2 linked regions of the Saccharomyces cerevisiae S288C genome follow. The gene in region 1 interacts genetically with each later gene. Each region holds a gene or a part of one and is shown on either strand. Other genes may lie near its edges.

The links.
Region 2: mutations in MTR2 (region 1) and BUD20 are lethal when combined (synthetic lethality), as found in Saccharomyces cerevisiae (2 studies listed by BioGRID).

What each region holds. Positions count from the first base shown.
Region 1 is NC_001143.9:90,422-96,260, forward strand, and holds MTR2 (Mtr2p), read right to left. Parts: upstream 2,878-5,839; coding exon 2,323-2,877; downstream 1-2,322. Other genes in the region: FAT3 (Fat3p), read right to left, coding at 1-1,115; DNA-binding transcription repressor ASH1, read left to right, coding at 4,078-5,839. UniProt on the Saccharomyces cerevisiae protein: Affects mRNA transport from the nucleus to the cytoplasm.
Region 2 is NC_001144.5:279,634-285,204, forward strand, and holds BUD20 (Bud20p), read right to left. Parts: upstream 2,824-5,571; coding exon 2,323-2,823; downstream 1-2,322. Other genes in the region: LAM6 (Lam6p), read left to right, coding at 1-1,310; RFU1 (Rfu1p), read right to left, coding at 1,386-1,988; 60S ribosomal protein uL16 RPL10, read left to right, coding at 3,294-3,959; FMP25 (Fmp25p), read left to right, coding at 4,239-5,571. UniProt on the Saccharomyces cerevisiae protein: Involved in pre-60S ribosomal particles maturation by promoting the nuclear export of the 60S ribosome. Involved in positioning the proximal bud pole signal.

The sequences.
Region 1 (5,839 bases):
GTGTTACTCGAGGAGCTTATCACATCATCTAATCCAATTAGCTGTTGAGTAGATTGAGTTGTATTTGTCACCGCAGCTAGAGATTGGACCGAAGTGACAACCATTGTCGAGTTGTCCGAATTTTCCATCAATTGGGTTAAGGCAGCAAACGCCTTTTTTGCAGATGATGACTGAGTGAGGTTTTGTTCCAGCAAATCAGATAGAGTGCTCAATGTCTGATTTGTAGAGGTGGTCTGGTTTAGCAGCAATTCCACTGCATCAAATGCGGGGGCGCTTGCCTGCGGCACTAGTGGTTGCAAAGTACTAAACGTGTTATTTAGGGAACCTCCGTTTGAAATTGTGTTTTGTAACTGAGTTAATAGTGTTTGGGCTAAAGAAGATGAAATAGTAGTGTTCATCAAGGTCGCCAGAGCCGTCATTGTAGCTGTTTGGTTCGTGGAGAAAGCGAATAGCCTGAATACCGGTAACAATTGCGCCTTTTCTGACATTGTCAGATTATTCAGAGTTAGCAATGCATCTGTGGAATTCTGTGGGTTATCGGAGTCTTTTAATAAGTCCAGAACCAAAGTAGTTGAGTCACTGGAAGAGTTAGAGCTTGCGGAAGACAGCGAAGCAGAAACTAACCTTGAGAGGCCATCTAGTGTTTCAGTTGCGTTGTCTGAATACTTCAGCAGCCCATTAATCTCTGTCAACTGCCTCGTGCTAGAAGCAGGATTGCCGCTGATCGCTAAGGGAGCCAATTCGGTCAATGATTCGATGGTTACTGTGGTGTTGTCAGCATTAGACAAAAGCGTCAATAGCGGCGTCAGCGCGGGAGTATCAGCAATATTTTTCATGGCGCCAAAAATATCATCCAAGGAGCTGTTCGGAGCCGTCAAAGCGGACCCTAATATTGTCAAAATAGGGCCTATCTGCGGGATCACCTTGCTTACATTGATGTGTTTGATATCGGCTTCACCGATGTATATATTCGTTAAGGGTTTGTAGTTGGCGGTGGAGCCAGCAGTGGCTACAATAACCAATATCAGTGTGGTGAACATGAATAAAAGGCACACAGACAATATCGTCCAAATAATTCCCTTCGACAGGGGGGTACGGTGCTTTTCGATCCTCATGTTTTTGTTGTTTTCTTTGCTTTCCTAACTCTTCGTATGAGGATTTTCGATGGAGCAGGATGAGGAGAAATAGTACCACATGTATATATCCATTACAAAAAGGTTTATATACAATTACAATAGACCCTTGTTGGGGTTTCTGAAAAAAGAAGTAGTCGATGCCATCGGCAATAATACGGAATTACGAGAAACACAATCCCGATCCTTTTTTGGGTAATTACTTCACCGATTCTACCGATTTATCATGCCAAAAAAAATTCACCGTGGGTTCTAGAAGTGCCCTTTGAGGATTGTAGCCACTCTAACCCACACGGCCTCCTTACTAGCTGACTAAGGTGACAAAACCGCAAGGACTGGAAAGTCGCCACTCATCTGAAAATTCTCAAGTTTTTCACTACTGAGTTTATGCTTTCGAATTTTTTTGTTCGGTAATAGCACGGCGGTTCGATTCAATTCCGCCGCTCCGAGCGATGCTCCGCAAAACTCAGTAATAAGCTTTCTGATGGTTCACCCCTTTTTTAGCACGCGGGGTGTAACTCAACAGAAAAATGTGCCATAGAACAAGACTAGGCAAAAGCCAAGGAGCGTTTGCCATGAACTTCCACAAGTAAAGCTCGTTGACCAGTTGATCAGTTGAGGGGGGTACACACGACTAGCGCTTTCAGATATTAAAAAGTTTAGATGTAGGTTTTAGCGGTAACAGTTATATAAATCGTGTTTCTTCTCTTGATGAAACAAAAAAATGCTAGAAAAACTTTGTCGTTTCTTACTTTTGGTGCGCTTTGCAGTTTTCGTGGCTAGACTTAGAATCATTTCTCCTCAGATTTCTTGATTAAAGTTTGGTGCGAAGCCCTACTCTAACATTGGTGTTCTTCTTTTCATTCACGCAAGTTAAGTCCAGGAAGGTGAGCAAATGCTCATCCTTCTGTTCATGCGTGACGGCTGAATTATCCTTATCTGGCGTACCCGTGCAGCCGTTTCCGTGCCTCGGTTCCTCCGAGATATCCTTAGGGACCGCCAGGGACCATGATTGCGTCAACTGTTGTCACCGCTCCAGAGGATCCTCTGTAACCTTTTCAACCATAAAAATAGAAAGGGCACAGGGTTGGGGTATTTGAATTTTTTTTTTGGGTTTTTTCGTATTACTTATTACTTACCTTCTTTTCTATATAATTTTGTTTTTCCCTGGTAGAGCGGAATCTTCCCACTAAATTTTTAGCAGAGAATCCTCGGGTTTGTAAACCATGTTATAGTTAAACCCCGATATTACACCATTAAAATCATTTCTAAATATGCGGTCGTCGATGATCAGCTGCAGGGAAATGCCAAAATATGGACCCCATAGAGGTCTTGGCTTGTTCATATCGTTGGGTCGATTTCTGTTCCCAGTGTTATTTGGTTGAATGGGAACAGTCGCGTCTTGCCCCATCTTGTCTCTGCCGCTTTCGTCGAATCTGACTTTGCAATTGACGTTGCATATCAACGTGCCGGATCCCGGAATAGCGTGATAGTCTACTCCTGTTAGGGCATGTTGTGTTTGTACGACCTGGTTTTGCCACATTTGCAGAAAAACTGTTGCTTGCGCGAAGGGGGTAGCATTAAATATTATTCTGCAGTTGTTTGGATTAAAAAGCTGTACGAATTGGGCCAATTTGTTGGAGTCCGGATCATCCAAATGCGCTAATATCTTCTTCGTAAATGTGGCCGTTATTTGTGCTTGATTTGCGTCATTCATTACCATAGTATTACTATTGGTGTTCATATTTCTGTTATTACTGTTATTAGTTTGGCGTTTTGCCTGACGATCAGCCTGGTGGGGCCAAGTATATACTATAAAAACAGGTTAGTTACTTGCTCTATGCGTTTGCGCATCCTCTTTTTACTTTTTTTTTTTCAGTAAAGCCTAAGCATAAATCGTTTTATACGTACGACACGTTCAACTTTTCTTGGTTAGTAGTGGCAATCTCTGCAATACATACAGGGAGTCATGGTCTATCATCTTGTCCAATCAAAGAAGCATCGGTTCAGATCGAGCAAACTGTAGGGAGAAAGGAAAGTAGAAATGCAGAGTGTGCTATATGTCCAATCTCGGTTTTGTAGTTTGGATGTCATTAGAGATCTACCACCCAACCGGCTGCTTTCATGTGGAACAGAAAAGAAATCGGGGCGCTTCCTCTTCTGTATTCCTTTAATTAACGTTTTTATTCAGCCATCTAACCATCATACCCCCATACGGTAACAAAACCTCTTCTAAGAAAAGAAGTCTCTGCTCCTCCGCCATCTTATTTTTATTCGCTGCGCGCGTTTATTGTCGCATCGCTAGCCAGCAAAAAGTTGGTTGCCTTTTTTTACCTAAAAAAGACACATCTAACTGATTAGTTTTCCGTTTTAGGATATTGACGCCAAGCGTGCGTCTGATTTCTACGATATGTCTCTAATTTTGGAAGGGCCATTTTATTTTTGAGGATTGGGCTGATCATTTTCCTTACGTGGATTGAGCCAGCAATACAGATCATTATTAAACTGTTTTGTACATGATGTTAGTATATAATCGTAAAGCTTTTCTAATATGTATACCTTATACATGGAACTCCACAGAACTTGCAAACATACCAAAAATCCTTTATTCTTGTTCACTCATTTTACATCAAAAAATAATATTTCAGTTATTAAGGAAAATAAAAAAATAGATTAGAGAAGCATTTTGAAGAAATAGTATATTCTTTTATTGAACCTAAGAGCGTGATATTTTTACTCGAAATAAAATACGAAAAATCTATACACTCATCTTTCCGACTACTATTGGCTCCTGCTCAAAAAAAGAGGGAAAAAAAGCTCCAAAATTCTATCTTTTCCTATCGCTCCTGTCCTATCCTTATTACGTTCATTACTATTTTAATACTATCCATTCTTTTATTTTCAGTCTAAAAAAAACATTTCTCATAACGGGAAAAGCAAAAAAATGTCAAGCTTATACATCAAAACACCACTGCATGCATTATCTGCTGGTCCGGATTCTCATGCAAATAGCTCCTATTATGACAATCTTTTATTGCCTTCATTTTCCAATTTATCCAGTAATATCAGCAGGAACAATATCACAACCGATAACAATATAAATTCAGCAAGTCCTAGGAAGTATTCGTTTCATTCGCTCAATGTGTCGCCAATTCTTTCCCCAATATCTTTGGCTAACGAAATACTTGGAAAAAAATCAAATACTGCACCAGCATCGCCACATCATATGGATTACAATCCAATTTCCTCATTAACACCAGGCAATTCACCAGAATTCAACAAGGCAAGCTTATCTCAGATTAGTTTTACAAATCCATTGAACTATGGGTCTGGCTTAGGTTTTTCCTCTAATTCACAACCTCGACTACCATTGTTAGACAGGCTATCGTCCGTCTCTTTATCTAAGAGACCGGAGCGCCCACAACAAAGCCTACCATCACTAAGGCATCTGCAATTATTACCCAGTCCTCTTTTACAAGAAAACGCAGCACGCTTCCCTGATACATCAAAACGTACATCTAATTGGAAAACTGATCTTACCCATTGGTGTAAGGATACAAACTATCAAGACTATGTTAAAATACGCGAAGAAGTGGCTCATTTCAAGCCATTAAGTATACCCAACTTAACTAATAATCAAAATAATGATAGTTTCAATTACGGCAAGGAATTGGAATCGACTAGGTCGTCCAAGTTCCATTCCCCGTCTAAGGAATCATTTGATCGTACCAAACTAATTCCTTCGATTCTAGAAGCTAAAGATCAATTTAAAGATCTTTCCAACAATGCATGGAGTATTACTCCTCCCGTCACACCGCCGATGAGTCCACCAACCAATAGAACCATGGAGCGCACGACGCTTAGAGGAGTAGAGGCCTCTTTTTTTGAGGGGAAATCCAGCAATAACGATTCAATATTCAATCCAATTATTAGTGAAAAATTGGTTCAAGAAGTTAAACATCAAAGACAATTACGTGGAAATTCATTTCCCATGCCAAATGCCAGTCACAAAAAGACGAACAGTTTCAAAGCTTTGCAAATAAAAAAATTGCTTGCGAATAGAGACATTCTATCGAACAATTCCAAATCTAATGTAAGGAAACCATCTAAGAACAAAATCTCAAAGCAAGCATCAAATGTTTTCGGTAACACTGCAAGACAATTGGTGATGAAACTCGACAACGCTAGTTACAGTTCTGTCTCTGCATCTTCATCTCCATCTCCCTCCACACCGACGAAAAGTGGCAAGATGAGATCAAGATCATCCTCACCTGTGCGTCCCAAGGCATACACTCCAAGCCCAAGGTCACCCAATTATCATAGATTTGCTCTCGACTCTCCCCCTCAAAGCCCTCGAAGATCATCAAATTCAAGCATAACGAAAAAGGGAAGTAGAAGGTCCAGTGGCTCATCACCCACTCGTCACACCACAAGAGTGTGCGTGTCGTGTCATTCGAGTGATTCGCCCTGTTGGAGGCCATCGTGGTCGCCAAGAAAGCAAGATCAGCTATGTAACTCTTGTGGTCTTCGATATAAAAAAACACATACAAGATGTTTGAACGATTTATGTCGTAAGATCCCCACAAAGGGTGAAATAAACATTATGAAATCCAATGGAATAGACAAAGAATTCGTCCCCGAACGCAACTGCGAAATTGAAGGGTACCGTTGCTTATTTTGTAATTACATAACTGAGACAGTAGAGA
Region 2 (5,571 bases), on another chromosome or scaffold:
TCCAATTGATTACAAGAGTTTGGTCAAAGGAAAACTTAACCAATATCAATGACGTTTTGGAGGTTGATGAGAGGGTCTCCAAGAAAAAGGGAATATCATCGACCCCTTCTTCCATATTCAACAATGTTTCTACCAATGCATATAACGATTTCATATCGACAACCACTACTGAACCAACAAGCAGGGCTTCCTACATGAGCGAGAACGACATGCTCATCGAGGAGGCCATAAGGTCCGTGGACGATTACATGGGCACACCAAGAGCATCGCCATCTTCTTCATCTTCGTCGTCATCGTCGTCATCGTCTTTAGGCTCTTCAACAACTTATTATTGTAGGCCCGTATATAGGTTAAAGCCAAACGCACCATTTCAATATGAGGGGCCATTCCATGTACAAGAAACCATGGACTTTCCTTATAAACCTGAGGCTAATAATGAATACGTGCTTCTGGAACGTCAATTCAGCGTTCCACCCGGCCTACTTTTCATTATGATGTTCAATGAAGATAATCCAGTTTTTGAGTTAAGCTTTTTGAAAACTCAAGATTCGTCCAACATCTCACACATAGGGACTTTTGAAAAAGTCAATAAAGATGGACAACATTACAGAGAATTCCAATACACCAAACAGCTGCATTTCCCTGTGGGGCCCAAATCCACAAACTGTGAGGTAGCGGAAATTCTTTTACACTGCGACTGGGAAAGGTACATAAATGTTTTAAGTATAACAAGAACACCAAATGTTCCTAGTGGTACCAGTTTCAGCACCAGAACGAGGTACATGTTCCGATGGGATGACCAGGGGCAAGGTTGCATATTAAAAATAAGTTTTTGGGTGGACTGGAACGCATCCAGTTGGATCAAGCCAATGGTAGAGAGCAATTGTAAAAATGGACAAATTAGCGCCACTAAGGACTTGGTAAAGTTAGTCGAAGAATTTGTAGAGAAATACGTGGAATTGAGCAAAGAAAAAGCAGATACACTCAAGCCGTTGCCCAGTGTTACATCTTTTGGATCACCTAGGAAAGTGGCAGCACCGGAGCTGACGATGGTACAGCCGGAGTCGAAACCAGAAGCTGAGGCGGAAATCTCAGAAATAGGCAGCGACAGATGGAGGTTTAACTGGGTGAACATAATAATCTTGGTGCTCTTGGTGTTAAATCTGCTGTATTTAATGAAGTTGAACAAGAAGATGGATAAGCTGACGAACCTCATGACCCACAAGGACGAAGTTGTAGCGCACGCGACTCTATTGGACATACCAGCCAAAGTACAATGGTCAAGACCAAGAAGGGGAGACGTGTTGTAACAGAGTAATCATGTAATATTGTATGTAAGGTTATGTATGTTCGTATGGTATGGAAAAAAAAAAAAAAAAAGGATGCTATGTGGAGAATGTAAGGCGTGGTAGCTCCGGATAATTCAGTCTGTAGGCTTCATCACGGGCAGTGGCCTGACTCTGAGAGCTTGCTCCGGTATTAAGTTGTGCGTTTGAAATTTTCTGGAAAAAAGAAATTGATTGGTTGAAGCTATACTCGTCGAAAGATTTCTTCGGCAGTGGTTGTTGCTCCACCTGCACGGGAGTTGTGTTTGCGTTTATGTTCGGCTTGGCTATATTATTAGCGAGTGATGTTTGCAATTTGCTGTATTGAGAATCAATTTGGGTGCGTAAGCTTTCAATAATTTTGCAGACCGCAGGCACTTCCAACTTTATGAGTTGCAGGTATTCTCTTTTATGAATATACGATGACGACGATGACGACGACGCATCCATGCGCAAAAGCTCAGGGTGTCTAGATAGTTTGTTAGTCAATAAATCCACATATCTAAAATAATAAATAAACGACAGCGACAAGTCGTTGGCCTGGAACGCACACTGTGCCTTTTCCAATATGCCGATGCATGTTTTCAGGTAAATTCTCAATGGTATCGCCGGATTGAAGCGATAATCCTTAGCGTCCTGAACCAATTGCTTACTAGACTTCATGACCTACCGGGGCCAGATAAAGATGCGGAAGGAAGAGAAAAAATGTATAGTGGTTGGTGAACCGCAACAATAATTCGTGCCAACACTTTAATCGAAGCAAAAATTGTCTTGTATGTTATTAATATTATCTATCTAACCATTGATTTACGTATAAAACTGTCGATGCTCATCGCCTAGCAATGAAAAAATTTTTTCTTTTTTTTTTCATTATTTCTCTTTGTTGCGTACTTTTTTTCATTGCGTTTCGCGGCAAAAGCGATTCGAGTTGACTGGAAGTGTGTTATACTATAAAAAGTGTATATGCCTATTTTTGGTTCTGATCTTTACTTTACTGTTAAGTACTGGCTGAGGCAGTAGACTCTGCCTCTGTTACGGCAGCGGTATTCGCCTCGGCATCAGCAGCCGCCCACGGTAGAGTAGGTTCTGTTGTTTTGACGTTTGCCAAGGTACTGTCCAAATGCTCCTTCAGCAAGGCCTCATTACTTTCCTTCTCCGGACCCACCGATTGCGTGATCTCCTGTACACGGTTCAAGAACTTGTTCAAATTGTAGCCCGCAGCAGCATCAGAGACTTCTTGTGTGTAAGGGACACCCCTCAACTCCTTGACTCTTCTTTTGTGCACTTTGCCCTTTAAATGCGTTTTTAACGCTATAGCAGTCTCCATGTATTTGGCACAGTGTATGCAATAGTGCTGACCAAGGCCCGGTTTGGTTTCATCCAATGGCTGGTTCAGAAGCTTCTGTACTGATTCCTTGGTGGACAAATCGTTATAGATCAGGTCCAAGTCTCGTGTTCTTCTTTTAGTCTTGTATCTCTTCACCGAATATCTACCCATGATGCGCTATTGTTTTATCTTCACTTGTCTGTGTGTTTAACTGCCTTTCAATTCACCTCATCTCATCTCCCGCTACTTTCCATATATAAAAGCAAAATTAATTTGCTTTTTCCCCTGTCAGTATAAAAAAATTTTCCGCAGGATATAGAAAAAAAAGAAATGAAATTATAGTAGCGGTTATTTCCGTGGGGTGCTTTTTTACACCTGTACATCTTTTCCCTCCGTACATTTTTTTTATTTTTTTTTTTGGTTTTTTTTTTTCGATATTTTTCCCTCCGAAACTAGTTAGCACAATAATGCTGACTAAGGAAACTTTTCATCTCAGAATTGATGGTCAGTTTGGTTTCTCTAGAGAATAGTTTATAAAAAGATGTTGATGTGGAGCAACCATTTATACATCCTTTCCGCAAGTGCTTTTGGAGTGGGACTTTCAAACTTTAAAGTACAGTATATCAAATAACTAATTCAAGATGGCTAGAAGACCAGCTAGATGTTACAGATACCAAAAGAACAAGCCTTACCCAAAGTCTAGATACAACAGAGCTGTTCCAGACTCCAAGATCAGAATCTACGATTTGGGTAAGAAGAAGGCTACCGTCGATGAATTCCCATTGTGTGTCCATTTGGTTTCCAACGAATTGGAACAATTGTCTTCTGAAGCTTTGGAAGCTGCTCGTATCTGTGCCAACAAGTACATGACTACTGTCTCCGGTAGAGATGCTTTCCACTTAAGAGTCAGAGTCCATCCTTTCCATGTCTTGAGAATCAACAAGATGTTGTCTTGTGCCGGTGCGGATAGATTGCAACAAGGTATGAGAGGTGCTTGGGGTAAGCCACACGGTTTGGCCGCTCGTGTCGACATTGGTCAAATTATCTTCTCTGTCAGAACCAAGGACAGCAACAAGGATGTTGTCGTTGAAGGTTTGAGAAGAGCCAGATACAAGTTCCCAGGTCAACAAAAGATTATTTTGTCTAAGAAGTGGGGTTTCACCAACTTGGACAGACCAGAATACTTGAAGAAGAGAGAAGCTGGTGAAGTCAAGGACGACGGTGCTTTCGTTAAGTTCTTGTCCAAGAAGGGTTCTTTGGAAAACAACATCAGAGAATTCCCAGAATACTTTGCTGCTCAAGCTTAAGTTCTTTTCAAACATTTGAACTAACTTAAAAGAGAAATTTTTTTGATTTAAATTCTAGTTTATTAAACAGTAAATATATTTATACATTATTGTAATACATATAATTATGTGTTTTTTTAAAGTTCAGCATGTTGGGTAGTGATATATCCTGAAGTCAATGGACACTGTTGCTTTTTGTATACCAGCAGGAAAAAAAAAAGCCTGAGCTGCAGTAACGAAGAATTGTTGAATGCGTCTAACAAGAAAGGGAGCAATCGATAACAGGGACGTGCGCCGCTAATGTCATTCAGATTATTCACGAGGACTTCTCAACGTCTCCCTCGCCTTAACTGGGTTAGTCCCATCAGGCGATACGCCAAACAACCTCAATACGATGAAGCAGAGTTGTTTGCAGAGAACATTAACCATGGCGCATATAAAGCAAAGAAAAGGCCATCAGACGAGCATTTCCAATGGCCTGAGAAGTCTCCTGATCAGATCACAAAGGAATCTGAACTCCAATGGGAAAGGATGGCGAAATTATCTGCTGTTGGGCAAGGGATCCTCATTCTCGTGGTAGTGGGTGGGTTGGGAACGGCCTACTTGCGTTGGCCAGAATTAAAATCCTGGTGGTTAATCAAGATGAATGGCGGTCGCATAAATGCAACGCAAGAGCAAAGTGGACAGGATTCGTTGGAAAAATTGATCAGACAAAAGGCCAAAAATCTATTAAGGGAGATTCCTCAAGTGCCTGCCTTTCAACTTGGAATAGATCATCCTGGTGTATACATATGGGGAAGGTGTCATTCTAAGGACTCATTGTTCCCTGTTAGAGTACCTAATTTGGATGGTCGTAAATTCAGAGATATCCTATTAGCTCCCTCTGACGATTTCAACACCAATTTTGCAATTGACGAGAAAGGCGATTTGATATCGTGGGATGATTTGGGACAAACAAAAACGATATTGCCAGATCAAGATTTGACCTCAATGAAGTATTCTAGTCACTTTTTGTACGCTTTGAATAAAAAGGGTGAAATATTGGTCATACCTATAAGAACGCCGGATCTGATAGCTTCGCAAGTATCATCAAGAAGGTCGAAATTGTTGCCATGGAAGACAAAACTAAGATATGATTGGAAATTACAAACAAATCAGATTTTCAACGGTAAGGAAGGAGAAAAACGTGTAGTACAATTTGACGCTGGTAGCCATCATCTGGTGTTGCTATCTAATTTAGGTAAGGCTTATTGCTGCGCGACGGGAAATGATCAAAAACAAGCTCAAGTATCCAAAGGACAATTCGGTATACCAACATTCTCACAATTCGATGAGTTTCCTCCCAATAATCAACTATTCGAAATTGAACTGCTGAACAAATTTAAGCATGAAGGAGAAGACGTTGTCCGCAAAAGAGAAATTAAAAAGATAGCTTGCGGGTCGTACCATACACTGGCAATAGATAAGACTGGTGAAATTTATGCCTTTGGCTGGAATAGGTTCGGCCAATTGGCACTACCTATTTCGTACAATCTAGAATATGTTTCTTTCCCAAGATCGGTAACGCATGCATTTAAACCGCATTTCCCGGGGATGACGAATTGGAAATGTGTGGATATTCATTGTGATGATG